4 linked regions of the Caenorhabditis elegans genome follow. The protein of the gene in region 3 interacts with the protein of the main gene of each other region in a pairwise test. Each region holds a gene or a part of one and is shown on either strand. Other genes may lie near its edges. The genes, in order: etr-1, C32D5.11, him-10 and smgl-1.

Region 1 (8,262 bases), on a different chromosome or scaffold from region 3:
TTGTTGCTGTTGGCTTGGAGCGCCCTGTTGCACGGCGAACCCTTGGAGTGCCAGCATTTGCTGTTGATGAGCAATCTGTGCCATTGTGATAGCGTCGAATTGATTTTGAGCAGCCATAGCTGGATTTCCAAGCAATGGGTTACCTGCAAAAACTTTTATCGGATAACTTGAAGCTGCACAGGACGGAAAAATCAAACCCCAATAAAAGAAAACACACTATGCACTCTTTGCATTCAATTAATTCAACATGCTATGTTATATTAGCGGATATAAAACGCTACTGCCGAAACAAAAACAACCTATTCGTGAATTTAGCTAAAAAGGTAAATCGTTCTGTTTCGACAAATTTGCGCGTCAATTGTGATGCATTACATCGGTGTGTCTGCAAACACCGAATGCGTCATACTTAACGCACAAATCTTTTTTTCGGAAATATTGTGTTAGTAAGAAGGATGATTCACACAGTAGGCTATCGAGAACACAGTAAGCGAAAATTCCGTCCAATCAATCAATCCACGTGGCAAATGAGAAAATGAGGGGGGTGAGCAACCAAAATAGAGATTAAGCACACAGTAGTGTCCACATTCCGACGAGAGGGATACGAGAACACACACTTCATATATCATCCACAAGGCAACCTTCAGAAGCCTAATTTCCCACCTAAACCTTGTTGCTGCGGATGTTGTTGTTGTTGTTGTTGCTGTGATAACTGCTGCTGATGCTGCTGGTGATGATGTGAAGCCGACGATGAGGTTGATGACGTGGCAGTCGGTGCCGGTGACGTCATCAACGCTTGGTGGCGTGGCTTTTCCGATGAGGACTTTGCCGACGCGTCGTCACCGCCTTCGGTTAGCTTGCCGAGCGCAGAGAGCACTGAATCGGATATTGCGACCGTGGGTTTTTTTCAGTTTTATTATATTTTATTGAACTACGTGTACAATTTTTTAATGATTATCAACTAAGTTTACCTGTTCCCAAAATTCCTAAAACATTTTGTTGCTGTTGGTGCTGCTGTTGTTGTCCCTGTTGTCCGTTGATAAGAGACAAAAGTGAGGCTACTGCTTGATAGTTTTGTCCACCGCCGAGCTGAAACTTTTGATTTGGTTTAGGAACAAAATATTGATGTTTTATAATATTTTACCTGCTGCAACAGCGCCGGATTCAAGTTTTGAAGCAAGCTTGCCGCGCCTCCTTTCGGTGAACCGGCTCCACTTCCAGTGATCATTGATTTCGTCTTCACGTCTTTGTCTTTTTGAGTGTCAGCGAACTTTACAACAAGCGGCGCTGAGCATCCCTGCAATATTTGATTTAAAAATTAGAATTCTATAGAAAGAACCTATAAAAATTGTAATTTTTGAATAATGATGAAGGAAAAAACTACGTTTCTAAACATATAATCTAAATTTGTAAATAAAGCATGGGAAAATATATGACTTTGAAAATTCAACACTCAACATGGAAACCACATTCATAAGAAAATTAGTGAAACTGCTTTAAATTTTGACATTACCTTTTAAACTTCAGGAAAAATGCAATTTATTTTTATTTTTAATTTCATAATAACTATAGTAGTTAATATTTTCTCGTGACGAATTTTTATTGCTTTATTAGTCTCAAAATTGTCTGAACACACCGAATTTAAAAATGAAAATTCTCGAAAAGTTCTCGAAAAAGTTTTCAGACAATTTTGAGTCTAATAAAGCAATTTTAAAGACACTAACATCTTGACTACACTATCCTTAATGAATAGAATTGGTAAAACACACTTTTCCGTTTAACTTTGACAATTTTCAGAGATTTTAAATTAAATTTAGAGTTTACAGCAGAAGGGTTCCCATACATACAAGAAACATATAAAAATAAATATAAAAAAGAGACAAAAAGCTATATGCGAACCTCCATCGTTTGCGAGTGATGCATTTCTTTGGTGGCGACGACGGCACAGCTGCGGTTTGTGAACGTTACAAATGCACATCCTGTTGGAGAAAAAACAAATATGAAAATATTGATTAACATTTAGAGATAGAGGAATCATCGACATTGGGTATATGTTGTGTGAAGCCAATTTCAGACTTCAAACTTTTATTTCGACACTCACTTGTTACTTTTACATAGAATACCAGGGCAAGAAAATGAAACTTTCATTTTTTTCGAAAAAAAAATCAGGACGTTACTTTGATTTTGTAGAACAGAAATTTGTTTTTTTTGTAATTCACACGTGGCAATTTGGTCTGAAAATTATGATTTTTTTTTTTTTAATTTTTTAGTCGAAATTTTTCAAAAACGTTGGGGTACTGTAGTCGGTTTATATTAGCTTTTGAAGCTACAGTAACCCAAAAATTTTGACATATTTAGTTTTCGAAAGTTTAACTTTGTTCAATATCGATCGAATATCGGCATCGAATATCGATAATCGAGGATTTATCAAGATAATTGAATAATCGGAAAATTGGATAAAAATTTCTGAAAAAAATCCAATTTTAAATAACTTCTATTTTTGACTCTCATTAGGATCAACATATTTTTGATTTTCAATTTTTTAAAAATTTATTTTAAAAATACCGGAAAATTGAAAGTTTCGTTAAAGCTAGGTATACTAACTTTTTCCGAAACATTGCTCTTCAAATTCACAGCTTTTTATAATTTTCTAACTTCTAGCCAAAAATGTCCACCTTTTGGGTTACTGTAGTTCAAAACTCAAAAGGTCAAATCAGGGGTGGGCGGCAAACGATTTTTCCGGCAAATCGGCAAATTTCCAGAAATGAAAATTTCAGGAAAGTCGGCAAATTGCCGGAATTAAAAATTTCCGGCAAATCGGCAAACCGCAAATTGCTGGAATTGAACATATCTGGTAAATCGGCAACCGGCAACCGGCAAAAATTTGCCGCACACTCCTGATACACACCACGCATTTTTTTGAGGGTACTAGCCAAAAATTTCAAAATGTTGGGTTTAAAGTCATACATCCAAATTTACCAACTTTGTTAGAAAATGTTCTAAACCCTGTGACAATCGTATCAAGACCATTTTGCCACGTGTAAATCAGCTCAATTTCGAATTTCGGAATCTTCTTCTTCTTCCCACCTTTTCGCTCAACATGCATGACACAGAAAATGATGAAAACATAGAGAAAATAGTAAAAAAGAGCATAGAGACAGGTAAATATTTTTACACTTTTTTGAAAAAGATACCCTACTTAATGCGCCCTTCCCCCACTTACCTCGACTTTTTCCGTCCTGATCACGAAGCACACTACAATCTTCAATATGGCCGAATTTGGCAAAAATCTCACGCAGATTCTCCTCGTTGTGCTTCTTGCTGAGCTGGCCGATGAAAAGTTTTCGTTCTGAAATAAATTATTTCTTGTAATTTTTATACTATTTTATATTTATCAGTAAATTACCATTTCGGTTCTCAGTATCAGCTGGTTTCATTTGTACCGGATGATGCATTCCTTCAATAACCTTTATATTGTGAAGGGCTCCTTGAGCCTCTATCGCGTCTTTTCTGTGATAAAATGTGACAAAGCAGCAGCCTTTGCTAGCTTGTGTCGATTTGTCACGGAGTATGTTACACGAGAACACTGATCCGTACTTCTCGAATAATCGCCGACAGTCTGTCTCGTTCCACTGGCGAGGGATCTGCAAAATTTGTATTGCGTTGAGTTTGAATTTTAAAATGTCATTTTTCTATTAAAATAATTGATTTATGGAATTATTCAAGTAGTGTCGCGAAATGTATTGAAATACAGTCTAATTTTATTTCAATAAATTTCGTGATATTTCGCGACACTATTTGAAAAACCCCATTATTTGTTGAAAATTGATGTAATTTAAAGGTGGGGTACCGAAATCTGAAACTTTGCTTTTTCAAACCCAAAATGACCAAAAACTATCAAATTTCGTAATGAGACGTTTTGAAATTTTCTCAAAAACAGAGTTATGGCGGTTCAAAGTTCTGCAAAAAAGGTCATTTCCAGCTAAATAACTTTTTTTTGAGAAATTTTCAAAACGTCTTATTACGAACGAAATTCGGTAGTTTTGGGCTATTTTGGTTCTAAAAAATCAAAGTCTCAGATTTCGGTACTCCACCTTTAAACTTTCAGAATAATATGATTTCTATCTTTGGGAAAATCACGAAAAATATAGATGTTGGCTACGTGTTTGAAATGACAAAAAAAATATGAAATATGACTTGCAATATTATTCCCACGATTTATTATTGTTCGAGAGAGCTATGAAATTCCCATAAAAAGCCACATGTCATGTGGATATTTGATTCATTCTTTTTCACAAAAATTCAATACACATACAACTGTGTTAATTTAAACCCTACTCTCCGCAAAAGTCCATATCTTTCCCCTTTTTGTTGTTGCCCTACTTTTCTCTATCATCATTACTCTAAAAAATTGATGATCATTGTCCGTCTTCATCAATTTGAGAATGCCCTTGAGTCGAGAAAACCTCCCTCATCATTTATATGGTAATGAACGCGTATGAAAAAATAAGGGGGTCGAACCCAAATAGACACAAATCCAATACCCCGTCTCCTCGTTATTCAGTTTTATCAAATTTGTGTAGTAGTAGTGAAGTGTCTCAGTAAATGGATGAGCGGGGGGAGTCTCATTGTGTGCATGTATACATGAAATTGAATCGAATTGGGAGATTGGGGTGAGCCAATTATGCCCACTTTTCGAATAAAAGTTTGAGAAAGTATGATTACCTGGCCGACGAACATCTTGATCGCATCTGTGTCTGGCTCCGATGGGGACGGTGACACGTCGTTGTCCGCTGCCGTGGATGGTGTTGTGTCCTTGGCATTAATGACGGTGGACTCCGCAATCGGAACGACTACTGACTCCATTTTTGGTACCACTAGAACTGCTGGTAGCACAGCTCCGCTCATATCATGGAAGGATGAATTTCGGAAGGTTGAGATTATGGTGGTGTGAGGAGATGTGTCTGAAATGGAGAAATTTTTTTTTAAAGTATGAAAATGATGAAATTAACAAAGAGTGTTAAAAGCAATGGAAATGCACGAATCTAGCAGTTTCATGGTCAAAACTATAGAAAAATCAACTATACGCATAAAAAGCAATAACTTTGAAGCAAGGTAATTATCAAAGCGAAAGGTATTTTATCGATAATAATATTGCTTTATAGGTTGTAAAAATATTGTGAAATATAAGCCGTATATTGAAAGAGAAGAGAGATCGTCAAATACTTTTGCCAATTCTACATAACATTTTTTTATTAAAAGTTAGTGCCAAAATATGGAAAAATCCTTATTATATTTTCAGATCAACAACTACTTCATTTCAGAACGAGTTTTAAATTAACAATTTTGGAACAACATGCCGTAATCGGTCATTTTAGATCTAATATGTTTATACGTTTCAAGAGCCATTATAGATATAGATTTCCAAAACTGATATATTTTTCCGAGGGAAACATTATTAGAGCTGTATACTTAAAAATCGAAATAGAAAGCGAGAACAACTAAAACAGTACTATTATCGATGAAATACCTCTTTGTCTGCCTCTTGCCTCTCTGATACCGCGCCGAGAAGGACGGTATTAACGGTGATTAAGACATTTGGAAGACGAGAAGAAGGACGGGGGAGAAAAAATGTTGTGTTATCAGCCGAGTTTATCAGTACTGCGTGCGCGCAAGGACCGTGTGTGTAAAGTTCTGGCCAGAGAAGAGATTCTTATCAAATCATTCACTCTTTTCTGACATTAATCAGTTCAAATGTGGAAGAAATATATTGATGAATGGGGCGGGGATCACCTCAATTTGAACTGTTCTCAGAGACTATCGCCACCCGACTGCTGCTGCTTTTTGCGGCGCGCGGGGCAGTAACAATACAAACAGAGAAGAACAAAAATATATTCCAGCAAAGGGACGTCTTCTATGTATTTGTTGAACACAAATAAAACAGTTGTCTGCAACGTATTTATATGTTCTCCAACGATTCGGTCAGTTCTGGATTCTAAGATTTTCCCCTTCTAAATTTAGAATATTCTCAGAAACTGTGTCACGAATTATGCTGCAGCGTATCAGACGGCTAATACATTCTGGATCCAAAACCGACAAAACGTTCAGTCTTTCATAATGTCAGTCATCTCGTTTTTCTTATTTTCCCCTAGCAAAGGCAACAACGGGGAGCCGGAAGAAAACCGATTATAAATGGAGTAGCCTGAAGATTGGCAGGGAGAAAAGAATGACAAGAAAATAAATATATATGTCTGAAGTCATTTTCTCTAACATGAAATGGAAGCCAGCTTACCTCCAGGCTCCAGAAATTGGCATGTTTTATTTGAAAAATGTACGCAAATTTCGTTGTAAGTTCTTAGGGTAATCTGCCTAATGAGAAATTTTGAAAAGGTTTCACTCTAAAGCAAAACACACGTTGAAAATACTTCGTCTATCCGAAAAGAAAGGGCGGAACCAAAAGAACACCGTTGTTGTAAAGATAGCCTAGAAGACTTAGTGAAGACAGCTGCTCCTTCAGGATGGATGCTCACGAGCTACCGTGTGTAATAGCACAGAGAGCATCACAGCTCCAAAGGCTCCCGAGAGCATTTTCTTTAGATCTCTTTTAGTGTACACCATCACTGCTGGTCCGTGCAACGAGAGAAGATTGAAAGAAGACGACGGCAGGGGGATAGCTAATTGTGTTGAACTGACCATTTGTCAATCTCCACGTCTTATTCTCTATGTCTTTTTGTCCCGATGAGGGGAGACGGGTCGTTTCATTTCACAGTGATGATGAGAATCATTCAATGCAAAAAATGAACAAATCTTTTTTTTGTGAAGCGTAAATCGACATCATTAACACACACAACACGATACGATACGACAGCCAGGACGGGGGTCAGGGTCTCGACACGATTATCCCTTTAAAGAAGGTAATGAAGGTGACATACGACAGGTGGCCATAAAGCCTGAAACATTCTAGAGGATACGGTAAGTTCCTAGGAGTGTTGTTTGTTCGGATATAGAAGCTTCAGACTCTAAAATTCAGAGGCAAGAATCTAGTCAAATGACTAGAGAATTGGGAAAATGTAATCTTTCTTGCCGTGTGACTTTGTGCGGCACATATGTTTTCCGTTGTCACTTTCTCACACTTCCCGCAGTATGTAATTTTCCAGATGCCGCTTTTCCTGGAAAACCATTGGCCCCGAGGGTTTGGAACCTAATTTAATCCTCGCCGATTCCGTTTTTGGAAGCTTTGGCCTCGAAGTATCCTGATCTACGAACACCTGGGTGGGTGGTGTAAAACAACCTTACAGATCATCAGAACTAAAAACATCTGGCGAACATATGCTCGGTTAAACTGACGCCTTCCGGAATAAGAATGAAGTATAATGAGAGTTGTAGGATATACGAAATGTTTAGCACATCTGATTGTAATAAACAATGCTGGTCTACTGTAGTTCTGAATGATTTCAGGATTTTCGAATTCATTGGCTATTTGTCCTAAAACGAATATCTTTTGAAATCTAAGATTGGCAGCTGTTCAAAAATCTATAAATCTAAGGCTGAATCTCGGGAAAGTGGAATATACGTTGACATTTACTACCCGCATCTATTCAGAATCGGAATATATTTTTTTAAACTGTCAGAAAAAAAAATTATTGAACAAAAATGAAAAAAGAGCATTTATTTCAAACGTTTTTGTATACAATCTTCAAGAACGATTAGTCGAAAGAATTCAAACTGATGTTTTTGTTCGTAAAAAATTTGTAAGTTGGTATTTTCTTATATATTGATATTCTGGAGAGATTCCAAAACCGACATACATCCGATTTTCTCGAAATTTTCAGGTTTTCGGGTAAAATGAGTGCCAGTTTCGATAATTTCCTAGTAAGACGGTTAACAAAAATATCCATGTTGCAACTATTCAGATGTTCTAATGTAATTCAAATTTTGCCATCAATTGCCAAATTATCAAACTTTCTGGCTCGGAAAAAAAAACCAAAAAGCTTCCAAAAAATGTGAACTATTGAATGAGAGGATGTGTCAGTCGCGAAAATGAAAGAGGAACGGAGAATTGGCTAAAGGCGAGCCGTGTGTGACGGGGGCTCATCTAATTCATGGGTACGTTCCCCGTCCCGTCGAAAGAGGAAGAGGCGAATGGAATGGAGGGCATAAAAATAAATGGGAACCTTTTTTTCCAAGCTGACAATGTGAGAATGGATGGAATTTTTGGAAAATTGTGAATTTTCTCAGCAAAATATCCGAGCAGATTACGGTTTG
Region 2 (8,652 bases), on a different chromosome or scaffold from region 3:
TGGAAATTCGTACTTTCTCTTCCTGTCGGCACTACCATTTGCTACAGGTTTAGGAAGTGATCGATTCGAATCATCAAGAATAATAGTATCATCACGTTCAACAACTTGAATCTCTTCATCGCTATCTTCCTCACTATTTGAATACGTTCTTGGCTCATCACTGTCTTCTCTGTCATCATCATCCACATCGACACCATCATTATCATCATCATCGTCAATTTCTACTACACTGTCGGATCCACGACTTCGAGCAGAACCAGCACCTGCTGAAGATGTCGTTAATTCTGCCCATGGAATACCAGCGATTGGTAATTCTGTAAAAATTTAACTTTTTGAAGAGCCGATCTGAAAAATCTTACGTGACGGCACCGGGAGCGGAGCTGGCCTGAACGGATTCGTAGCATTAGGGCCAAGACGAAGAGGAGCCTGAAAGTAGATGTCATCGTCCTGGTCGGTGTCAGATGATGAGGCAGGATAATGCTACAATGTAAACTTACACTCAACAGGTCATAAAGGGGCGGCAAACTCACTTGCGGTTGTCCTCGATACATGTGTCCCATGGTAGATCCTGAAAATTTTATTTTGAAGTTTTAAATTAAAATAATATTTTAAAAGCATATTATGATAAAAAATTAAATACCAAAAACTCGGTCGAATGGTGTAAAAACCGGGAATCGGCGCGACCTGTGGTTTGATCTATTTTCTTCGGGTTCAAGCTCAATTGAATCGTCGACCGTCACAACATCTGGAAGATACGATTTTTTGAAATTAAGTACAAATATGATTCTACCATTTCCAGCACTTTCACCTCCGCGATCTGTTCTGATTCGATATGTTATGGCACCGCACCACTCCAAAAATGACTTTCGACTGTTAATCAAAGACTTCAGCTCAGCAATAAATGCAATTACAACCCGACATGATACAAGCCCATTCAATGCTGCATCAACTTCTCTCTGAAACATTTCAAACTTATGGTAAATTTGTTTTTGAACTACCGCATTAAGATCACGCGTTCCACGATCTTCAATCATACTGAATATTCTATTGATAATCTCTTCGTCTTTTCCCTCGGCCACATCATGAAGTGTATAAAAATACCAGCTATTTTCATTGTCGACACGTGGTTGCTGAAATACTTTTCATTAGAACACTTTTATGTTTTAATGGGAAACGTTACCGTCTTCGCCGGAAGGGATTTCAACTCGACGCTCAAGAAACTGTGTAAAACTGCTCGATAGTGATCGATATTATCACGGAATTCAGTTTTCGACAGAGAATTAGTTGCATCTGGCAATCCTTCTGATATAACTTGACGCTCATAGATCAATCTTCGGAATGCGGCTTTTGAGACAATTAATGCTTTTGCTGCTCCATGATCAATGTCGTCTCGGAGCATTTGCAGGGAGTTCAATTGTGAGACACACAGTTGTTTCATCGAGTTCAACTCTTCTAATCGTGGCTTCCTTTTTTGACTATCAGATCTACTTGATGTTGCTCCACTAAAAGAATGTTCAAATACAATTTGTATATTACTCATCGAAAACTCTTACATGATCTCGTCAATTTGGTTCATTAGCCTTCGACAACTTCGAATTTTTCTCGACACAATTCTCTTCTCAGTCACAAGATCTTCTGAAGCAGTCGCTGCTGGCTCTCCTTCGGATTTTATTTGCTGGACGGTTATTTTCTCATCGGTTCCTTTCCGTTGGATGAAGCTAACTGGTGTTTTGCACATTGGACAGAAAGGACCGGATCCCTTCGTGAGCCAGCCTACAATGCAATCGTAGCAAAATTCATGGCAACAATCACTCAACGAGGTTGTATCGATAATTCTGAAATAAATCAATTTTTAATTAATACTATTGAATGAACTTACTCATTTTTGCATACCGAACACTCCTCTTCCGGTTCGTCGATTTCTTCTTTAGACTGGGGACTTTCTGTCATGTTACTTTCTCCAAAATCCTGAATTGTATTCTTTTTCAGTGGTGATTCACTTGTGCTCGGAGAATCCATTGAGCTTTTCAATTCTTTTGAGATTTGAAATATTCCTCTAAAAAATAAACTATCGGAAATTTTTTAGTTTCTCACAAATATTTTTCAGTTTGCGCAAAATTTTCAAGTTTGAAAACTCTAACTAATTTTTCCCATATTCTGGTTTGAAATTTCAGTTTCTCTTTTAAAAATTAAATTAATAAATTAAAATTAATATCAAAGAAAGAAGGTAGTCGAAGTAAAATAAAAAAGCCTAAAATGTTGATAAAGATGGAAGCAATCAAATAGATCTCATTGGAGCGCACAAGCATAGTTTTGAGATATTTGAATTTTTATAAGGAAATTTCCCTTAAAAAATGGAAAGAACAGAAACCGGATACAGAGAAAACACTCACAAATAGATTATTATGAAAAATTGGAAAAAAAAATAGTTGGGTGCATCTTTTGGAATTTTCTAGCTTATAGTAAGTTTTGTTATTATTAGATTCGTTGCTCTCAAACAAAACATCTTTCTCAATAAAACATAAATAATAAAAAAACACACAGAAAATACCAAAAACCTGTCTATAAAACAGTTTTCACAAACTGATTCGCTCAAAATATTATTTTAACATTTCATTAAATATTTTAATAAAGTTTTTGAAAAAAGCAGAACACATAGAATGAAAAAAAACGGGGGTTGAGTAACATTTGAATGTACATGTCACAAGGTACAACTAAACAGTGAAGGAAACGGGTTGTTTAAGAAGCGAGTGTACATTTATCCATACAGATATAATGTTTAAGAAACTCGAACAAGATTATTTTTTTAAATGAGCGTATTTCTTGGATATTAACGTCTATCACGACGAGAGTTTGTTGATCTTTTGGCTGGTGGTCCCTCGGGTGGATGCCCGTTTTCGGCTGCTGAAAAATCAAATTTCGGTAAAAAACAATTTAAAGTTAGAAATTTACCTCTTCTTGCGGATCTTGTTCGATGAGCAACCGAAATAAAGTCAAGTCCATTATCAGCATCCTCCTGATTTATGGTTGCAACAATTTCCGCAAGTGATCGAGATTCTTCGTCAGATATAGCGGGTGCTGGAGTTGCTGGACGAGGAATTTGTGTCGGTGCATTGCTTGTGCTAGCATGTTCTTGAATTGCTTGATGAGTTTGCTGCATATTTTGGTAAGCTCTGTTGAAAAGTTGTTCCACTTCTTCGATTCTTTGCTCCCGTGGTGGCTGTGGGAAATGTCTTCTCTCCAAAATGCTTCTGGTTCGGTTTAAATGCGCGAAATCATTACTCGTCATAGTTCGCGGCTGATAAACAGGTATACTCGTAGATGATGTAGTGGTTGAATTTAACCGTGGCGAGAGCATAACCTGAAACAATTTTGATGATATTTTATGTTTATATATTTTTTAAACCAACCAATCCAGAATAACCATCAGAAGTGAATCGTCGACTTGTATAATCCGACGATGCAGGGTGACGGAAGAGACTCTGAAATATAGAAAATCTTCAAGTTTTACTTACTATTAAATTAAATACATTCACTTCTTTATAAATTCTCAATAATACTCACCGAAAGCCCTCGTGATCGATTATCAAATTCCCGAACTCTTTGTAGAAGTCGATCTCTTTCGATTTCGCGGCGTGTCTGGGGCCGACTCTCAATCGGCGGAATCTCTTCGTCTGTCGGACGATCGGAATCTAAACGTCTCATTGCAGATCTCAGCGTCATATGACTGCGAGAAGTTGTCGGTTGCTGTGAAATAGGTAAAGTTCTAGTAGTTTGTCCAAATGTTACAGGCTCAACTGGAACCGGTTCTTCTGTAGTTGGATATCGAACACGAACATCTCGATCACGCATCATGTGGTAGGCTCTCATTGACAGCGGTACCCGATTTGGCATTTCCAGCATTTGTTCGTAGTATGCTCGTGCCAACGATTGTTCACGTGGATCTTCGTCAGGCATTGGCGTTGGAACTCTTTCTTCTGGCGACTCAGAACGATCACTATCATCATCGTTATTCGTGGCACGGTCCGTTCCATCAGTATTTGAAGATTGACGAAGAAGACGTCCTGCCACATAAGTATCCATCCAATCATTTGTACTTCCGATATCACGATGAATTTGATTGAAGAGTGCTTCGAATCGGCTTTGAGGATCATCACGTCCCATAGAGTTATAATCAAAGAAGTTACTCGAGAAACTATTGTATATAGAATCATAGTAAACTTCGTTGTAGAATTCTTCGATTGTTAACTTTTCAATTGCAATAATTGCATCCAAATGATCGTCCAAAAATTGAATATGAACTGCACTAACAGGCGTTAGAATTTCATTGAGTTCTCTCTGAAAACTAGCAGTTTTAAATTAAATTTCCTGTAGACGTACCCGGAATAAATGATCACCCGATGGACGACTCAGCATAAGCTCGTAAATTTGAGCGGCATAGCGCTGTTTTTGCTGCATATCGATGCAGGAACCTAGAAACTTTGTTCTCCATTTGTGGCCGGCAAGTTTTGGTTGCTGAAAAATTCTAAAAATTTCAAGAAAGTTCAATAAATTTTCTTACATTTTGGAAAGGTATAGCGTCGAACTCAGCTATCAAAAAATTCGTGATAACATTTCTAAAACGATCCGGTTCTCTGGCAATATCAGATGGCTTGATTTTAACTTTCTTCAAATCAGGATACATTACTTTGACTTTGCTTGTGTAAACCATTCGACGAAACGTAACCGTATTGAAAACAATTGACCTGAAATCTTTTTTTGGTAATATATTCATTCAATTAAACTGATACTTGTTGATTCGAGCCTGCTCCGTCCTAAGATCCGATAGTGATATCTCTGCCTTTTGAATATGCTGTGTTACGATAGCGGCTAACTCAATCAATGCATTCTGGAAATAAATATTTAGTCTGTTTATATAGCGTGCTAATTTTTACCTTCAAGATTTCATCTGGTTCCTTCGATTCTTCGATACCGCTTCTGAAATATAGAACGTTTTGTTGGAAAAGCCAAGCAAACTCACATTTCTGATGATAACAAGCCTACAACCTTGTAGGAATGCATTAAATTTCTGACAACTAGTCTCCTTTCGCTGAGAAGTTGAACTCGATCTGTAGGCGTAAGTGACATATGCCCGCTTCGATATTCTTTGATTGCAATCCTGAAACAGAAAATTATCGTAAATATAAATAAAATAAAAGTTCTAACTCTTTTTGTCCTAGTTTTTGCTCTGAAAAATCATACGACACTTTATCGACATCCTTGCGACACATTGGGCATGAAGGGCGTAGAGATTGGCAGACCCATTCAGAAATGCAGGAAAAACAAAACGAGTGATTGCATCCTTCGATGCGACATTCTTGAGAGAATCTTAATTTTAACAATTAGTTGTTTGTTTGAATTTATATCCAACCTCGTAGATAAACAGATTGTGCACTGCAATTCTTCAACCGGGTTGTTTGAACTTGTTGATGGAGATGGTATGACAGGTTCCACACCACTGTCCCCCATAGTTTTTCTGAAAGAATTTTTCTTTTATTATTATCACTCATTATAGTAGAAAAATCAATAATGAGCAGTATGACTTTCTTTTCAGAAATGAGGCAAGGACGACCCGAAAATACTGATATCGATTTTCCACTATGACTTAAATGATGAATCATAGCAAGCTATCGCTTAAAAAATAAAAATGTCGTCGGATTTCACTTCTAGAACGATAATATTAACGTGTTTCGAGATTTGGCTATTAATTTCAGAAAAGATACGATAGCATGCTTCCGTGGTATGAAATATCACTTGCAGATTGATAAATTCGTATTGACATTGTTGAAATTAAAGCCAAAAAAGTCGATATATCAAACCACATGAACGAATTCCCAGAAACTAGAGAAAAACGAGAGAGCGAGGGAAGAAGCGAGGCGTTGGCATCGAGAAATGCGTCAGCAGGTTTCTCGCAGGTCCGATCGCAGTCAGCGATGAACATAACTTTTTTGCCATTAAATTTCTCATATTTTAAAATTAGCAAAATATTCGAAGACTTGTGTGAAATAAAAACAATGATTATTCATTAATCAAAAGTTAAATTAATAAATTGGTAAGCCCCGAAGAAAGAAAGAAGCAGAATAAAACAAAGATTTGTTAATATTGAAAACAATGAGCCAAAATTCTGTACAGAATTTTGTACAACAAAGTTTTGTACAAATTTTGTTTCAAATCGTTGCGGACGAGTTTTCAAAAACGCTCTATTGACAATTGTGAAAAACTTCGGCCGTGAACAACACGAGGACAATATCATGAAACAGACGAGCATTCGAAATAAATATATTATTTATAAATACAAACAAAATAAATAAAATAAAGACATTGATGGAATATTTTCCTATATCATACATCTATTTTGAATTTAAAATTTAGATTATCGTATCCCCATAGGCGAAATTTCGCGATTTTTGACACGCCAAATACGGTACTGGGTCTCGACACGACAAAACTTCAACAATTTTTATTTGATAACTTGCAAAGTATTATTTTTAATAAAGCACAATGAAACTGATTCAACAGATTGAACTTCAAGTTTATTAGGATTAATTGGAATTATCCTTGCACAGTTGGTCTCTTTACTGCCTCCTTCGAATACGAAGCTTTGGAGTTCGCGTACAATTTGAATGCCTCTTCTTGTGAGATTTCCGGTTTAGAATTCAATAACAGGCGCAGTTTCTTATTAGGAAATCCAACAGTTTTCTCAAAGAACAAACGGAATGCAACGTGATTTAGAATGTTTTCTGGGATCTAAAAACTCAGAAAAATTAAAAATATTGGTTTATCTGTAAATTGAGAGTGTACCTTGAATCCAAGCATATTCTTCCAATAGTTTAAGTACGAAGTGGCAAATGATGGCCAATAACTGACAGCTACTTCTTGACAGTAATTTGGATTAAGAAAACGACTTTCGAAAAACTGGAAGTTAAAAAAAATAAAAGTTGAATTTGTTTTCTATCAACTTACATCTCTGATTGAATGAGCACAGTTCTCATCCATACAGAACACAATTTCTCCATTCAATCTTTTCGAATTGTAAATTAATCCGAAAAATGATTTTTCAGCGATTGCAGCTAGGTTTCCAGCATATATCTGAGAAAGGATTTTATGATACATAACCGACAAAGTAGAACATATCACAAATAAATAGAAGCTCTCTAAAACTTACAAATTGATGCATTCCTCGTCGTTCTCCAGTTACAAATGGTAGAGCAGAATTCAAAATTAATTCTTTGATTGTGTCAATCTTTTTGCTTTTTCCAAGACCATAAACAAATGTTGGTCTCAAGAAAATTCCATTGAAAGATCCCTTTTTTGCGGCCTTTCTCGCATACATTTCTCCTCGAGTACGAGATTCTCCATACTCATCCAGCATGTAATTTCTTGGATAATCACTAGAATATCAGTCAATTTCACATATTAATGTTACAAATTGACACTTACAGAAACACGTCTTGCGCCAATCCATAGTTATCTTCATTTGGAATTGGGCAATAAGCACATCCGATATTAACCAGGGTCTTGATGTTCAGATTGGTCATTGTGTCGACTACACTCTCACAGGCTACAAAAAGAGAAACAATTATTTGAAGTTTTTTAATACAGATCACCAAGTTTTTCTGAAAATTTCAAAAACTTCGAAAATTCTACAAAAAATTCATCCTCACACCTTTGTAAATATTTTTCAGGTGTATTCAAAGCTGAAAGTTCAATTTCAAAAGATAGAAAATTAGTAGGAAATCATATTTTCATTCATTACCAAGTTTCAAAATATTTTTGTACACTTAAAAGTTTATTTTCACCACTATAATCTTTCAAATAAACTTCATTTCATCAATGATCACTGTATTTGAATGATTTCTGTTTACATAAAAATTAGAAAAATACGTTTTATTCAGATGTTCTAATGGGTTTCTCTTTTGGAACAAACAACATTTTTGGATATTTTTAGAAAAAAAGGAGACTTTGGAGAATTTACTGTAGATTTATTTCTATTTGGAACAAAATTTTACAAAATTTTATAAATCCCATAGTTCATCTATGTTTCTAGTTCTTTTCTGATTCCAAAAGAGCTACTAAAAGCTATGGTATTGCATCTTTTAATATCCAATTCCGTTCGAATCGTTCAATTTCTTGTTTCAGAGAATGAAATGACGCAGAATGGTCAAGTTTTCAACAAGATGTGTATTTAGTTGCTTGTCTATTGACAATTGGAATGTGCTTCTTACAGTGTAACCTTTTTTTTTTCGAAATTTCAAGTTCAAATGGTGGATAGATTTAGGAAAAGGCGAAAATGTGAAATCTCATTTGGAGAAAAAGCAAGTTATAAATTTATGGAGTTCGGAATATTGTTTTTTAGAATTACAATAATTGTCAATAAAGAACTTGAAAAAATATTTTATCACCGCAGGGATTGAACCAGCGAACGTTTACGTGAATGGCAAAATTTTTAGCCACTTGACCACAGCGGCTTTTTTAATTTTTTCGGTAGTAAAAGAGGTGATATATTATTCACTTCTACTGTCATAGAATTTTGGATTTACTCAGTGAAAGTAATTAAAATAGCAAACTTTTTAGATGTTACAAGTTACAAGTTTTCTTGGAAATCCAAGTAGC
Region 3 (7,926 bases):
ACATCGACTGTCGTATTCTTCGGAACTTTCAGAGCCAGCTTATTCTCACTGAAATGTTTTTTTGATTGGGTAACAATATGAGAAGTCTTTTCAAATATTTGATCAAAAAGGTAAGAGGAAATGGGTAAGATATCTTACTATTAGGATATATATTTGGAATTAATCTTAAAGTTGGATTAAAAGTATTAATAATTTTTATTTACACCCAAAAAGTGGAGTTTTTTCTTCTCACTAGTATTAGAAATCGGCCAAACAAACTTCTTCCAAACATCGGAGTTTGCGTCAAAGCAGAAAAAATAGGCTGTAGGTAGGCCAGAGGTAGCACCATACTTTGGAAGCCTAACCATTTCAAAAATTAATTCCAAAAAATCTAGATTTTTTAAAAACTTACTACGGTCCCGGATCCTTAACTTTGTTCAATGTCATTTGAGCAGATGTTGGTGCAATTGGGACTTTGACATTTTGCTGGAATAGAATAAAAATTAATGATTCAGATTATCCACTTGAATGGTGACAGGATCCACGAGATATTACCTTAACCGCCATTAAAGTCTCTCGATTCTTCCTCTCCTTCTTTGATCCACTATTCGGAGCGAAACCTCCGGTTTCACAAATCTTGCGTAGAGCACCGTATCGTCTCCAGGGATTGTTGGTGCTCCGCGAGCTTTGTTTTTTGAAAGTTGGAAGCTCTCCGTTTTGAAGGAATTCCGTCACAAGTTGGGTATTTGCCAAGATGACTGATTTGAATGCGACTTGATTTGGAGGCGGGGCCGATGTTTCCTTGTAAGTTTTATGAAGCAGAAGAATTGAAGATGTTGAGCTACCAAGGGAACGAGCATTTGGAAGAGATCGGGGTCCCAGATTTGAGAGCTTTTAAATATAATTTTATTTTAATTTCTTGCAGTTTAGTTTATGATTAGTTTATACACATGGAAAGCAATTAACTTCAAAGAGCGTTTCTTTTACATATATAAAACTAAAACATCATCATGTACTATGAATGCTCACCTGAGAGCACATCGAATGTACATCATCAGTGGAAGATCTTGTACCATTTGAATCATCTGGTCGAACTAATCTCTTACCCGAAAGGTCTAATGGTCTGAAAATTATAAAATCTGAAAAGAACATTATTTGAAAAAGCTTACTGCATAATTTGTAGAGTGAATTTTTCAGAAATACAATACAAAAATTGAGAAATGAACGAAAAATGTCAATGTTGAATGCAATAACTCGAGGCCCGCACGATTTATTTAAATTTATTTAGAATTTTGGTAGGATAATATTCAATTCAGAAGGACAATTCCAACTTGTAGAGCTAATGAGCGAAGAGAAGTTTAAAATTTCTGGAAAAGTTTTCATTTCAAGATAATTTTTTTTTCAAAAAACGTTTCAAAACTTCCGACTCTCACTTATTCCCTGTTTGAGCTTTCTCCAAAATAAGAAACCACGCCCACTTTTTGTCTTACTGTAGTCTTAAAGACGCAAACAAAAAAATACAAGGCAAAAAATTCAAAATTTCTAATTTTATTTTTAATTAAAAACAGAGGCACATAATCTCCCCGTAAATACCACTTGAGTGAATTCTTACCTGAAAAGTAAATTGGTGTGAAATTTCTAGAGCCTGGGAATGAAAAGAAAACATTTGAAAATAAAGACCACATGATTTATTTAGACTCAGTTAAAATTTTGTTATTGGTATGGAAGAAAGCATAACATTTACATTGAATAGAGATCAAATGAAGTGAAATTTTCGAGTTGAGTCATTCTATTTGAAAACGGAAAAACTCGAATCGTTAGGTTGTGGATCACAATTTTCCGTGTTCTCTCCGGCGTCGATTGTCGATGATCCGAATGTGTAATCACTCAGAAGGCGTCCGGTAAGAGAGCTTTTTAGACGTTCCATTTCACGTGCAGCTGCAGTGTTCTTCTCAAAAGCTACTTTCTGGGTTTCTTTGAACATTGCATTAAGTTTTGCGAATTTTGCAACAGCATCTTGGCAAGAGTTGGTGATTTGGGAAATCGTCTCACTGTGTGCGTTTTTTAGAGCGAGGAGTTCTTGCTTCTGAAAAAAATGTTGGTGAGTTTTATGAAGATTGATCTGACAAAAACCTTTTTAGCAATTTCCTGTGACACATCTGGCTGACTAGTTTTCAAATTTGCGATTTGCCTGAAAGATTTACATCGTTTAAAAAAATGTTTTCAAAGTATCAAATAAATTCCTCACTCGGTAATCTCCTCAATTCTACGCTGACGCTCTTCACTTTTCTGCGTGTGTTCTATACGCAATTGTTCATGAGTCTCCGACTGCTCGACGAGTCGCTTTTGTGCCGTTTCCATCTCCTTCATCATAAAATCCAATTGCTCCTCCATTTCCTTGAGCTTTCGAAGATTCTCACTTTCAACATCGATCAGGTCAATGATAACTTCTCGAACTTCAGTCCACTGATGGATCTTCTCAATAATCACTGGCACGTTCTTCTCCGAGTTGATGCAAATTTCACGAGCCTCGAGTTTTGCTTGAAGGCCTTTTCTGAAAATAATTACTTTTATTTTGAATTTTTGGAGAGACTGAAGATATATCAGTACTTTGATGATTCAAGACAATCGCGGAGCTCTTCAATGTGACGTTTCCTTTCCTCCATTTCTTGTTTCAGCTGTTCCGGCGATGTCAGAACTTCTTCATTCAAATGCTCAATTGTCTTTTTACCAGTTAGCATTTCCTTTTCGAGGGCTTGAATGTGCAGAATAGCTTCTTCTTTCTGCTTGTCGAGTTCTTCATTAATTTGACGAGTTTCGGTATATTCGTTCACAACATTTTTAAGTTCTGCCTTCGCATTGCTCTGTTCGTTGATTAATTCATGCTCATGACGTTTTCTTATGCTTTGTTTCGCGAGAAGATCATTTTTCTTCTTCTCGGCTTCTAACAACTCTTCCCGAATCTTTTCCATTTCGAACTTTCGATCACTGAACTCTTCGCTAATTTCATTGAACGCTGGAGTGGCCAATTCGTGAAGTTTCAGAAAATCTACAAGAAAACTTGTCAGCTTTCTGAATCGATGTTCGTGTTTTGCAGGTGTCACGAGATCGCACATCGTCAAGTCCAGCTTGTTGCCAGAATTATCTTTGATAAATGCTTTCCTGAAAAAATATTTCAGCAAATCTAACATTAAAATTAAAATCTTACATGCATTGGAAGAGAATAATGATAGGAATGCTCTTTTTATGCAATTCTGGATCATAATCACAGTTGGCGGACAGCGGAAGGGTCGTCAGCGAGCTTTCCGACACATTTAACACAAGCCTCACAAAATTAGCAAATATTTGTTGCGCTATTTCTGCCTGAAATCGGGTTATTTGTGCTGATGAATTCAATATTCTGTTCAAACTTACGGTTGGCTTGATAATGTCATCGGCGACAAGGCCCATATGCAATTTTTGACCAAGATACTTTGAAATCATCCGCGGATCATACACAATTAGTACAACGTTTGACATTTCTCCTGAAAAATGGAATTTCAGTTCTAAAAACACAAAAATAAAGTTAGAAATTGTTAAAAACAAAAAAGTTTATTTGAATTCGCCGAAGAGCGCGCCAAAACATGTGACATTTCTCGGCCGTGAAAACTAGGCCACCGCGGCCACAAACAAATTTTAGTTTTCTTCGCTGAAAAAAACATGTTTTTCAGTCTGAAATCAGAGTTTTTAGTATGAAACAAGATGGACGAGGCTTCCTGTAGATTTCCAGAATGGGTTTCTTCAAAAATCATCGATTATTACGCAGAGCAGGTAACATAAATCGCTGTGATGAAATAGGGACAAAATTTTTTTAATTTCAGAACATCAAAGCGCTGTTCGATTGGCAGATTGATGTGTTGAATGAGGCAAGACAATTTGAAGATCAACACTTGATATTCAGTGCGCCAACAAGTGCTGGGAAAAGCATTGTAGCTGAACTTTTATGTATTATTTTATCTGGTTTAAAGAATAAATGTTTAAAAACTGTAATTTTCAGCATGGAAAGTCGCTTCAACTGGTAGAAAGGTACTCTTCGTACTTCCTTATATCTCCGTGGCTCGAGAGAAACTTCATCAAATTCAACGGTGTTGGAGACGAGATGACATTTCTGTCTGTGGCTTCATTGGTCCACAGGCCTCAAATCCAAATGAGTGGCTTGGGGCAGTTTGTACCATCGAAAAAGCAGCAAGTTTGACAAATCGAGCATTATCAGAAGATTGGTTTGAGGAAATTGGTTAGATAAATCGATTTTAATTTAAAATTTTCACAAAAAGTAGCTTTCAGGAATGATAGTCGTTGATGAAATGCACATGGTTTTCGATTCGTCTCGTGGTGCACACATTGAGCACATGCTCTCGAAAGTTTTGCTCTGGAACCAATCTGCACTGGAAAAAGTTAGAATTATCGGAATGAGTGCAACTATTCCAGAACTTTATCGAATAGGCAAATGGCTGGACGGTGCGAAAGTTTTCGAAGCAAGATTTCGACCAATTGTTCTACAAAATCATATTGTAATTGGTTCGGAGTTGAGGAAATCTGGAGATAACAAAGTTCTAAGAGAATTCTCTGAAGATCCATTAATATTGCTTACCGAAGAGAGTTTTCGCCGCAATTCTCAGACTTTGGTAATGATTTCTTCGAAACTTGATGCCGAGAAGACTGCTTTGAATATTGCGTCGAGATTCCATGAGATCAATAAAACCGACAGCTCATTGTTGGAAATATTAAAAGAACGAGCCAATGGACTATTATTTATAAAGCATGGATTGGAACGGAATGGTTGCAAGGATCGGAATGTTATGTCAACACTTGCATGGGGAGTAGCATATCATCATGCTGGATTGACGATGGAGGAAAGAGAATGCATTGAACTAGGATTTCGGGAGAAAAATATTGTTATTCTTGTGGCTACAAGTACTTTGGCTTCAGGTGAGTGTTTTAAAATTTTAATTGTGGTCAACCGAAATATCGGAAGAAATTAAAAGCAAAATGTTTGTTGAAATATTTTTGGGGAAAAAATTAAATCAAACAATAATTTTCATTTAGGGTGAAGATTTGTTGATAAAAATTTACTTTAAACTTTCAAAAAATACTATTCACTCAAGAATTTCCAGTTGTTTGCTAATCCCGCTCTTCCCTTTTTTTTAAATCGAAAAGCGAAAATTTTTCGGTTTTTTTTTCGAGATTCCAAAATGTCGATTTTTCGAATAATAGCATACAATTTTGGCCCTTTTTAGCTGAAGAATATTAAATTTTTGTTTTCTTTTTTCTTATTGATGAAATAAGATAAAAGGTTCAAATTCGTCGATATATTAAGATTAAAACTATTATAATTTTTCAAACTTTACATTTTCAAAAGTTTAAAACCTTCTTTTCCAAATAAAAAAATAGAATTCCAGGCGTAAATCTCCCTGCGGAACGAGTACTCATCAAGGCTCAGCCACGTGGCCCATCGGCTCTCACTTCTCTAAATTACCGTCAGATGGTGGGAAGAGCGGGAAGAACAGGACATGCTACACGAGGTACGTCTTCTTTTCCCGCAAAATCTTCAAATAAGTACTTGACAAACGGCGATTAAAAAGAAAAAAGAAAGAAGTGGTTGTTTCCTGACCGCTCATTATTATTGTTGTTATTAGCAGATTAATTTATTATTTAGGTAATAGTTATTGACATTGAAATTCACGGAAAAATAGAGTTACATGGGATTATTGTAATCATGATAAAGCTTCAATGAAGCATTATTGTTCGGAATCATTTGAGAATCCTGAAAATGTAATTGTGAAAGTGAGGAACTGACAACAAGTGAAGTATCGAAATTCAATGATGACTGATGTTGGGGAGCTTGTTGTTGAACATGCTCAATTATTCGTGGTTTGTACTCGTTTTTCACTTGACGTTGCACTGGAGGAGTTACCGGACGGTCATCATCATCACTATCCGACATATCACATTTTTCAACACTCTCCAAGTGAGCCGCAGCTTCCATACTTTTCTTGTGCATTCCTGAAAACAATGTATCATATGGGAATGAAATGGGTCAGAGCAGGTGGTTCAGGGTAATTAGTGGTGCAATATTGTGGTGTCACTGTCGTAATTTCTCCAATTTTAATACCTATCATGGTGCACCTTCAAAAAATTTAGTTTTTGTTAGGAGTTTTGCACGTTTTTTTTTCAAGTTTTACTAAGAACACAAAAATAACAATTCATTTTCTAAAAGTTTCAAGCTACCCTGAAGTTTGGTTTGTAATTTATAATTAAAACATCTTAATACCATTTTTTGTTTGTTCCCGGTTGTTATCCGGAATTATCCCAGTTGAAAGTTTTAGATAGACTAATTTTGTTCTACCAAAAGTCCAATTTCATGATCTTTTCTAATTTCATTTGTTTATCACAAAATTAAACTCTTTTTCTGACTCATTCTCCCCTCTTCCTCATAAACAAGCTGATTAACGCAACTATCACATGCAAAGTCACATCTTCACATACCTAACAACCACGGAGCAGCACTTTGTTGTGGATCCGCCGCCTCAGCTGACTTTGTAATTGTTTCCGGAAGTGGAAGAGAATGCCGTACCATTGCTCCATATAGCCCATATTCTGCCATTATGGTACTTTTTCCCCAGGTTTTCTCGGTTTTTCGCCATTTTGCACGACGGTTTTGGAACCATACCTGAAAAATATACTTGATTGAACAATTTGATAAAGCTTTTACACAATTTGTCATCTAATAGATAATTAGGTCTCAGGTTTCAGTAAGCCAATAGAAGCGAAGAAGCGTGAGAACCCTTTAGAATTTTGGGTTTCACTCAATACTATCAGCCAATTGGCCGTGTCTTGACTTGTCTTGAAGGAAATTCAAGAAATTCAATTGACACATTGCTGCCCCTATTCTTGTGGGGGAGCATGTCCTCTAACTTTCCGAGAGTCAAGAAGAGCAAAATGGAGGAAATTAGCACCAATAAAAAGATGGATGCCGACCGATAAAAGGGGCTCCGTTTTCGTAATTGGTAAGGGGCTACAATGAAAAATCAACTGACCTGAATCCGATCTTCTTGCAATTCTGTCTTTCCAGCTAGGACTTCTCTGGCATAGATGTCTGGGTAATGAGAATCTTGAAAAGCCTTCTCGAGTTCGTCGATCTGGTATTGAGTGAAAATTGTGCGATGTCTTCTCTTCTTTCTCTTGCTTGCCTTTCCACCACCACCACTGCTTCCACCACCAGAAGAATTTGATGTAGTTGCTGATGATAAGATGCTTGATGAGCTGACATGAGTCTGGGGCTCCGAAGTTATAACCTCTGATGTTGAGATTGGCATTCGATACATCAGTGGAGCAGGTGCTGAAAATTGAAAATTCGTTTGAATCTATGAACTATGAATATCCTACCATTTCCAATAGAGTCAGTACCACACAGCTGTCTGTCGAACCCTGATACTCCACAGGATCCAATGTCCATGAAATTGGGTTGATTTGAGAGAAATGTTCCCTGAGGACAATATCCGTGAGATAGATATGCATTTCCCTAAAAATTACTGATTTGTGCACTTCGGAATACGAATGATATTACCTGAATGCCTAGAATCTCATGAATTGCGAAGCTCATTCGTTGTGAATTGCTCATTTGATTGCTCATTTGCATTGATGCAGCGAGCTGCATTTCGTCCACCGCCATCACAAGAGAAAAGTGGCTGCTTATCTGGAAAAATTGAAGAAGATTACCCAAAGTGGAAAATTGGAATGAGAAGACGAGAAGGAGGAGGCTGATATAAAAATGAATTGGCCGGTGTGCAGTAGTCGAGAGCACACTAGAGAAACGGGAGGAGGCAAATGATCCAATTTCCTGACGAATCGCTGAGAAAACCACGCCCATTTTTGGTTGGTTTCGCAGATCGACGTCTACCGTACCAC
Region 4 (8,290 bases), on a different chromosome or scaffold from region 3:
TCTCCTTTCTTGCGTTATAGAGCCTCATTGGTGTGTACATTGGATCTCCAACCACAGCTTCAGACACTGGAATATCATCTAATCGAATTTCTCGACATCGTCGTGATTCACTCAATCGTTTTTCACTTGATGCAATTGCATCAACAGTATCCAATAGATTTTCCTCACTCGAATTCAGAACAGCACATGAATAGACATCCTCCATATCAGTTGGAACATGGGATGAGTTCATAATTTGCATACAAAGCTTGTGGACAACTGGAACTCCTTTTGCTTTCATAACTTCTCCAATGTACTTGCTCAGATAGACGGCATCATTTGCATTGAGTGCAGCAAGAGCACAATATGAAAGAGCAGTGGCTATTGGTGTGTCAATGTTGAGTTGTTTTGCGAAGCTTAGAATCTTCTTTCCTTGTTTGTAGTTTGATCCCAGTCCGACAACATCTCGTAGAAGAGAGTCATGCTCGCAAAATCTGAAAATTCATTCTCTGTTGTAAGTCTTTTTGGGCTGTTCTTTTTCTATTTTTTCTGGCATTTCTGAGTTTAAGACTATTTTAATTATTTTGAAGGAAAATCTTCATTCCTCATTAAAACTTCCGAATCTTACTTGATTGCAATAGGCATCATGGTGCATCCGAGTTCAAGAGCTGCATCAATTGCATCCAACCAATCCAGCTTTTCTTTCGACTTTTTCGGCGATATCGGCCTTGCAGCGACTGCGAAGAATCTCGATCTACCAAGAAGAGGATCACCTCTCTGAGTAGCTTCATTCATCAACTCGTCACTTTTCGAAAGAAGAACATCTGCGCTTTTAGCAATACTCAGCTTTCTAGGATTACTATTGTCTTCTTTCGGATTCAGTGTTAGCACAAGTTCCATGAGTTCGGGATGACTTCCAATTCGCTCTTCCTCTAGGATCTCTCCTGCAAATATTTCCAGAGCCTCCTCTGTGGTCACCAAATCTTCATAAATTCTAAAAATAATTAAATTAGAGTGTTAAAACCTTAGAAATGTACCCATTGGCCATATCATAAATATCATCTCGTAGTGACATCCAGTCATCAAAATTAGAACAATTTCCAGATCGGGATAGTTTGATAAGGACTCTTCTTGCACCATCACTGAAAATTAGAAGTGAGTATAGTTTTCAAATAAATAAAAGGTCTTACGGTTCTTTCATGCTTTCGAAAATCGACTTGAAAGTCATTTTGACACCCCTGGACATCAATGATCCTAACGAAGAAGTGACGTTCACATATTTATCAACTGGAAGATCACCAAGAGATTTCATAAGATCAGCGCCAGTTGATGTCATGTTAAGAAGAACTTCTAGAATTACATGATCATCCACTACACTCGGAAGTTCATTCCTAAATGCCACTAATACTTTCGTCGTTCGTTCATTTGTAGCTTTCATCAATGTTGTCACTGCATCACGTAATCGATCTTCTATACTTTCTTCACTATCACTGGATGTCATTTTTATTTTCCATTCGATCAATGAAACAATGTCTTTTGCATTTTTGATAAGCTCCGAATCTAGAAGTCTCGAAAACCGATCCGTAAATGACTTCATCGTGGAATCTTGAAACGAAGTTATGCTTTCGCTGACAGACGAACAAATTCGAATATATTGTGCGTATGGTTGCCACGTCGCGAGATCATGAATGAGATCTTCATATCCTCTTTCATATGCTATTTGAAGTAAATTAACACAAATATCAGTCATTCCACATTCAAAATCAATCTTCGGTAGAGTTTCTCTTACCCATGAAGTGAAATCAAATGTTTCTTCATTCGGAATATTTCCAACATTTATACTTCTAATTAAAGATTCAGCATCAGGATGTTCCATTAAAATTTTATCCAATCGTTCATAAATTCCATCATTTTGTTCTTCAAGTTCCCATTGTTCCTCTGTTTCTCCGTCTTCTCGTTTTGGCATCAGAATCTCATATTTTGTAGGTGAAGTACATGTTGGAATTGCTGAGAGAATACGTTTCTGATGATGCTTCATAACTGCCATGTTTGATTCAATTATTCGTGTCAACGAATCAATGTCTCCGTTCTGAAAAATTAATTATTTCCTTTTTATTTAAATTATATTATTTAGCAAATTATCACTGAAAATATTTTCAAAACTTTTAGATTTTTACAGCCAAAAATGTCAATTACGCAAGTTTGCACTATCATAATTTCAGAAATTGGCCAGAAAATCTGATTTGACCTATTTTGGCTATAAGAAAATTATATATATATATTTTCATATTTTACCCGATTAATTTATATTTAAATTCTCACTCTTTCTGTATAAACGTACATGTGCAAATGTCAATGCCGCATCCAAACAACTTCCATTTCTAGCCATCATATAAATATCAACGTCTCCTTTGATTCTACAAACTTCCAACATTCTCCAGTGATGAAGTAACCGGATTTGCCATGTCACACTAGACTCTCCCAGTGATAAACCGAGATCAATAAGTGCCTTGTGAACTTCAAAGTCATCTGAATCTGCACTTGCACACTGTTCAGCAGCCCATTCAGAATCTCCGATTCGTTTTAGAATATCTTCAACATCTTCAACTGTCACTTTGTTTTTGGAGCATTTATCAATCCATTCCGATTTAAGAACAACATATATATCAATTGTATCGTAGGTTTCTGCTAGCTCTCTTGCTCTCGTGTAATCATGTTCCTTCAGCTGAAATAACACAACTTGGAATTTAAAAAAATCTTGAAATTTGTATTATATATATTTTTTTTTAAACAGCGCTTTTTGCGTTTTCAATTAAATTTCAATTACTTTACGTTTTTTTTCATACTTACTGTTCTATCGAACAATTCTTGCAAAGTCCTAGTTGGAGAGTGTATCAACGAAAATTCGAATTTCGCTATATGAGTCTCAAAATGAAGTTGCTCAGCGGGCTCACCCATCGCCATTCCAACGAGCTTTTTCAGCGAGTTCCAAACTGTGTAGAACCACAATTGACCAGCAAGTTGAACACGTTTATGAGCTGCTTTACGAAGAAAAGAGTTGTCACCGTCAGCAGTGAGCAAGAATATTTCACGTTGTGCAGGTGATACCATAACTGTTTGTTCACTATAAAAGTCCTTGAGTTCTGGTTCCTCGTCAATTTCTTTTTTTGATCTCATTTTCACTGAATACATTTTCTCTTCCAAATCTTCCAATGAACATCTGAGGAGATATCCATTATCGTAGATTACTGCAATTTCCTGTAAAATAAATCAATAATTATTTGAAAATGGTACCAGAAACTTACATCACTATCAACAAAACATGCGTCCACAGGACGAGGTCCACTAATGAAATTAAAAGAGAATTTAACGTGAAGAGATGGAATTTCGAATAGATACAATGATCCAGAAGTAGATACAGATACAAGTAATTGAGAATCAAATGACAAGGACATTCTCGGAAGATATGACATGAATGATGTAGAGAATGGAAGACGTGAAAAGAATCCACCATCAGGAGTTGATATTCTGATTGGTTCAACAAATGGATCCATATCCATCATTCGAAATGAGCATAAACCAGCTGGTGGAACTAATGATGTTGATTCTTTGTGATGAGATGCAACTAGCAGAAGATTATATTGTGGTAATACTGTAAATGATCCTGTTTGTCCAATATCCAGTTGAACAGTCCACATTTTCACGTATTTTGATAGTCTTCTGAAAGAAAATTATTGAAATTTTTGTTTGAAAAGAAAATATCAATAGTCAATTTTTGTAAATTTTCGAATATATAATTTTTTCAAAAGTTGAATGTACTCAAGTAGCGGGAATTTTTCTTGCTCTAAAGGACTTGAAATGGTCCGAAAATAGCGAATTTCCTTCGCGCTTTTCGTATCCAAGAGAGCGCAATAAATTAAATTAAATCCAATTCATAACGATACTTATTTAATAAACTACTCAAACATTTTTAATTCTACGTCCAGTAGATAGAATTGAAAATATGCCTACATCCACAGAAAACACAAGTAAAACGACTAAACAATGCAGGTGCTGTATGAAAAAAAATTAATAAAATTACTGATTTGATATATAGAAATAATTACCCAATTTTGAAAGCTGAAAACACTCCAGAATATTGCAATACGTAGAGAATTTCGATGAATTTATCATTCGAAGAACTTGAATAATTTTCAAATGTTTGCATTCCACAAATAGCCGAATTTACATCGAATATTCCCTCATGCAGTTCTAGAGGAATATCATAGAGATATGCACCCATACTATCAAATACATCAATATGCGGTGTACTTCTGGATGATAATATCAGAGTACTTGATGAGGAAAATTGAAGTATACAGTATTCTGGAGATGTTTCTTCAAGAACTTGAACACTTGATTCATGAGTCAGAATTTCTCCGCTTATTTGATAAATATCCAGTTGACGGGCATAGCTCATTACCGCTACTCGATCACATTTTCTGAAAAAAAGGATTTATATCCGTTTTTCTATCCCAATCCATACGGCGAAACAGCTAATTTACAGAAAGGCAGAGATTCCACATAATTCGCAATTTGCACTGGAATTAAAACATTTGGACTACGCATTTCCACATTGGTTAACCATTTGAGAAGATTATATCTGGAAAACGTTCAGAAAATTATAAAATTTCGCCATAAATCACAAAATACCGTTCTTTCAATAATATTTTTGAATTTTCATCATCGTGCTTCTCCTTTTCATGATTTGTTCCTCTCATATGCGCCATTCTGTAAAAATTTGTTATTTTAAAGAGTTTATGAGGATTAATATCAGGAAAACTGAACAAAAAGTTAAAGAGGTACCCGCCTAGGTGTTGGACGTCTGCGTAAATCGACAACGTAGACCAAGTGCAAACACTTTCACGTCAAATTGCGGACATGTCAATTTGTTACATTAAATACAAAAGTGAAAGTCAAAATCTTTAACTTGCATTTCAGGTATTTAACTTTTCACACAGATATTCAATAATGCAAAACTGACATTTAAATATAGCATTTCGTTCATTAATTTTGATAGCGGTTGTTTGCAGTAAAATGAGCGTCTTCAATTTACTCGAAAACACAAATTTCGTTTTTATTTGTCATCTTCAACTCGATAATAATTTAAACTTGGGACAACCGGATAGTGCCTGGGGAATGGGAAGCAATGTTGGGGCATTATTTGGGACACTATCCGTACGAAAAATGTTCTACCGGGAAGCGGTAAATGATAAAAATACATATTGAAGCTGAGGTGATGATGGTGATAGACATGAAACGAGAAGAACGACGTGACATGCGATATTGTGCAAATTTATAACACGGCGAATACTATTAAAGCAGATTGTGCAGGGAAATGTTGATCAAGGGGACAATCATGGTCTAAAAACATAGGGGAATGGATAAGAATTGGGAACGTTTGGATACAATCAGGTCAGTAAATTAAACAAAAAAATAATCCGGAATTAAAAACTTTAGAGGTTAGTTGCGAACTGAGTCGCGGTCTTCATCGGTGTTGCCAAGTTGGGATCCGGTTCCAGATGTGAGACGAGAAGCTGGACGGTCAGATGGTGACATTTCGTTTGTGAGAGCTGATCCACGGAATTCATCTGAAATTATAAATGTTTAAATTTCATAACAAATTTTAACAAAATACCTCGTGCAAGGCTGGTGTTGCTTCCAAATCTTCTCGATTCACGATGTCCAATCAATCCAGGTGTTCTACGAGCTGTCGTTTCACGCTGTTTCAATAAAGAAACATCTCTGGAGAGTGTCTCATTGAGATCAGTCATCTCTTCAGCTCTTCTCCGCTCGTCCTTCAACTTGTTTGTCAAACGGTCTCGCTCTGCCTCAGTATCTTCCAACTGTGTACGAAGTTGACGGATTCTAGCATTCTGACGATCAACAGCCTGACGATTACTTTCACCTTGTCTCTTCTCTTCCTCGAGCATTTGCTGCATCTCTGCCATTTTCGTTTCCATTCGTCGCAGGGTTCTGCCTTGACGCATCTTATCCTGCTCTTCCAATGAAAGCTGTTGCTCAAGACTGGAAACTTTGGCTTCCGCAACGTTGATTTGTGTACGAAGACGAGCCACAGCGGTATCTATAAAATTATATTAACATACGAAACAATCTCATCACAAGCTTACTTTCAGCATCTTGAAGTTGTTGCTTCAAATCACGATTCGCACGTTCCAATGCAATTTTATCTGATTCTGTTCTCTCACAAACACTTCTTTCCATTGCAAGATCAGCTGTCATTTGTTCTAGTTGCTGTTGTGACTTGCGAACCTTCTCTTGTGCCAATTCATTTGCCGAAGCCTCCTCGTCGAGTTGGTCTTCCAAATCAATTACCTTTGCTTCAAGACGTCTCTTCTCCTCATTACTGAATGAGGAAGCGCGAAGACTAGAAACTTCTTCAATGAGTTCATCGCGCTCAGCTTCTGCTTTACGTTTTGAAGAGCTGACAGCTTGAATATCGGCGGTGAGTCTCTTGATCTCATCCTCCGAAGCCCGAGCTCTCTTCTCTGCGTCTCTTTGTCCAGCAAGAGCATCTTCCATGGCAGCACGAGCTTCTGTAACATCCAGCTGGAGATCTTTCCATCCCAGTTGGGCTTTGCGAAGCTGACGCGAAAGATCTTCGATTTGTCTCAAAGAAGCTTCGTTCTTTTCAGTCAACTCGCTGATTTGAGATTCGATCTTCTTCTTGTTGGCAATTGCAGCTTGACGAGCACGTTGTTCAGATTCAAGCTCTTCGGTAAGATTTCGGATTTTAGAAGTGAGTCCCTTCTTACGATCATCCTCATCTTCTTCGCGAGAGGCTAATTGACGTTCGAACTCGGATCTCATTGCTTGCATGTTGACTTCAACTCTGCTTCTAGCATCATCAGCAAGTTGGAGAGCATCTTCTAGTTCAATGATTTGTTGTTCCGCACGACTCAACTCTTCATCAAGGCGACGTTTCGTCTTCTCCAACTCGTAAACATTCTTTCCAGCATCATCCTTGGTGGAGGCCTATAAATTATCATTGAAATACGATGATACGATGATAAATTTCTTACCAAATTGTCAATCTCTAGTTTGAGAGTCCGTTTGTCCTTTTCTAACTGATCCACAATATCCTTTTTCTCGGATAATTCATTTGACAACACCAGAGCCTTCGTCTCTGCATCACGTAGCATTTGATGAGCCATATCTCTTTCTTGCTGAGCGAGCAAAGTGTTGTTTCTCTCCTCGGCGAGCTGTTGATCAAACTTCCTCATTTTTCTCTCCATCTCTCTAGTTGCGGCCACCACATCAGTCAACTCTTTTTGCACGTCCTCAGCCTCCTGGATAGCCTTCTTCTTGGCCCGTTCAGCCTTATCTCTTGCTTGTTCAGCCATGTCGGCCCGCTCTTTCTCGGCTGACAACTCCTTCTCCTTCTTCTTCCGCAATTCTTCCATCACCTCTCTATTTTCCTCATCCAACTTCTTTCTAGCCTCGGCCAACAGAGATTTGACTTCTTTGACCTCTTTTTCGATCTTTTCTTGTGCGTCAAGTGCGTCATCTCTGGCTTCAACAGCAACCGCAAGATCTTCTTCGAGCTGACGAATTTTATTGTTTAACGTGGCTCTAGTTCGACGATCTTCCTCAGAAGCTTCAGTAAGCTCAGACAACTGCATGTCGAGTGAAGCATTCTTCTTGAGAAGGTTAGAATTCAGAGTTTCGTCAGCACTCTTTGCTTTTTGAATGCTTTCAAGCTCGTTGTTCATCTGCAAACAATAATCATGTCAAGAAACTTTCTCTATGTCGTGCTTTCATACCTTCGATAACTTAGCCATAAGATCATCAAGATTTGACTGCATTTCACGCATCTTATGATCCTTCTCCATCAACGACGTCTCGGCCGCTTTCCGCTTCTTTTCCGCCTCCAGACGAGCCGATGCTATGTTGGACAGCTCGGCACGGAAGTTCTCGTTATCAGATTCAGCAGAAGATTTTGCCTTGTCAGCCTGCAAAACGGACAATTATAACTGATCAAAACAATCTTGAATCAATAAATGACAAGATTGACGAAACTATGTGAAAAGAGGTGATCGCAATCAAATAGCGCGCTAGTTTCATCACTAAACAGTGTATATTGACAGCACCACTCTACCATCGGACAGACAACTGCATTGAAACAAGCAAAGGCGGTTGCGGAAAAGGAAGAGGCGACCAATTTAGTGGTAATTCGAGCATGAAGCTCCGCAAAAGTTTCCGCTCTTCCTTCTAACTCCTCCTCCCAGACTTCATCACAGTGAGTAAATAG

The links.
Region 1: the proteins of him-10 (region 3) and etr-1 interact in a two-hybrid assay, tested with the Caenorhabditis elegans proteins (one large-scale study listed by BioGRID).
Region 2: the proteins of him-10 (region 3) and C32D5.11 interact in a two-hybrid assay, tested with the Caenorhabditis elegans proteins (one large-scale study listed by BioGRID).
Region 4: the proteins of him-10 (region 3) and smgl-1 interact in a two-hybrid assay, tested with the Caenorhabditis elegans proteins (one large-scale study listed by BioGRID).

What each region holds. Positions count from the first base shown.
Region 1 is NC_003280.10:159,785-168,046, reverse strand, and holds the start of etr-1 (RRM domain-containing protein), read right to left. Parts: upstream 4,947-8,262; 5' UTR 4,906-4,946; coding exon 4,723-4,905; intron 3,642-4,722; coding exon 3,404-3,641; intron 3,347-3,403; coding exon 3,221-3,346; intron 1,977-3,220; coding exon 1,897-1,976; intron 1,295-1,896; coding exon 1,142-1,294; intron 1,087-1,141; coding exon 969-1,086; intron 874-968; coding exon of another isoform or gene 661-873; intron 153-660; coding exon 1-152.
Region 2 is NC_003280.10:6,349,932-6,358,583, forward strand, and holds C32D5.11 (RING-type domain-containing protein), read right to left. Parts: upstream 5,516-8,652; 5' UTR 5,509-5,515; coding exon 5,411-5,508; intron 5,368-5,410; coding exon 5,206-5,367; intron 5,159-5,205; coding exon 5,021-5,158; intron 4,978-5,020; coding exon 4,935-4,977; intron 4,889-4,934; coding exon 4,791-4,888; intron 4,746-4,790; coding exon 4,562-4,745; intron 4,516-4,561; coding exon 4,381-4,515; intron 4,339-4,380; coding exon 3,565-4,338; intron 3,483-3,564; coding exon 3,411-3,482; intron 3,362-3,410; coding exon 2,953-3,361; intron 2,905-2,952; coding exon 2,831-2,904; 3' UTR 2,599-2,830; downstream 1-2,598. Other genes in the region: putative RING finger protein C32D5.10, read right to left, coding at 1-314, 360-426, 531-568, 641-745, 791-956, 999-1,130, 1,181-1,502, 1,554-1,835 and 1 more; C32D5.12 (3-beta hydroxysteroid dehydrogenase/isomerase domain-containing protein), read right to left, coding at 6,592-6,786, 6,841-6,954, 7,003-7,128, 7,205-7,430, 7,480-7,600.
Region 3 is NC_003281.10:5,798,837-5,806,762, reverse strand, and holds him-10 (Kinetochore protein Nuf2 homolog), read right to left. Parts: upstream 3,504-7,926; 5' UTR 3,499-3,503; coding exon 3,394-3,498; intron 3,343-3,393; coding exon 3,188-3,342; intron 3,142-3,187; coding exon 2,590-3,141; intron 2,534-2,589; coding exon 2,228-2,533; intron 2,171-2,227; coding exon 2,113-2,170; intron 2,066-2,112; coding exon 1,769-2,065; 3' UTR 1,651-1,768; downstream 1-1,650. Other genes in the region: R12B2.3 (Ras-associating domain-containing protein), read right to left, coding at 1-48, 392-465, 535-870, 1,009-1,102, 1,149-1,153; Homeobox protein ceh-10, read right to left, coding at 5,714-6,021, 6,505-6,688, 7,056-7,357, 7,405-7,540, 7,586-7,690; polq-1 (DNA polymerase theta), read left to right, coding at 3,721-3,789, 3,840-3,963, 4,016-4,252, 4,303-4,947, 5,418-5,540. UniProt on the Caenorhabditis elegans protein: Acts as a component of the essential kinetochore-associated NDC80 complex, which is required for chromosome segregation in mitosis and meiosis and spindle checkpoint activity.
Region 4 is NC_003279.8:7,921,590-7,929,879, forward strand, and holds the start of smgl-1 (Neuroblastoma-amplified sequence), read right to left. Parts: upstream 4,750-8,290; 5' UTR 4,749-4,749; coding exon 4,672-4,748; intron 4,622-4,671; coding exon 4,505-4,621; intron 4,461-4,504; coding exon 4,086-4,460; intron 3,700-4,085; coding exon 3,285-3,699; intron 3,238-3,284; coding exon 2,830-3,237; intron 2,705-2,829; coding exon 2,321-2,704; intron 2,069-2,320; coding exon 1,170-2,068; intron 1,122-1,169; coding exon 1,017-1,121; intron 974-1,016; coding exon 608-973; intron 474-607; coding exon 1-473. Other genes in the region: nmy-2 (Myosin-11), read right to left, coding at 5,482-5,609, 5,657-6,103, 6,150-7,014, 7,062-7,751, 7,803-7,991.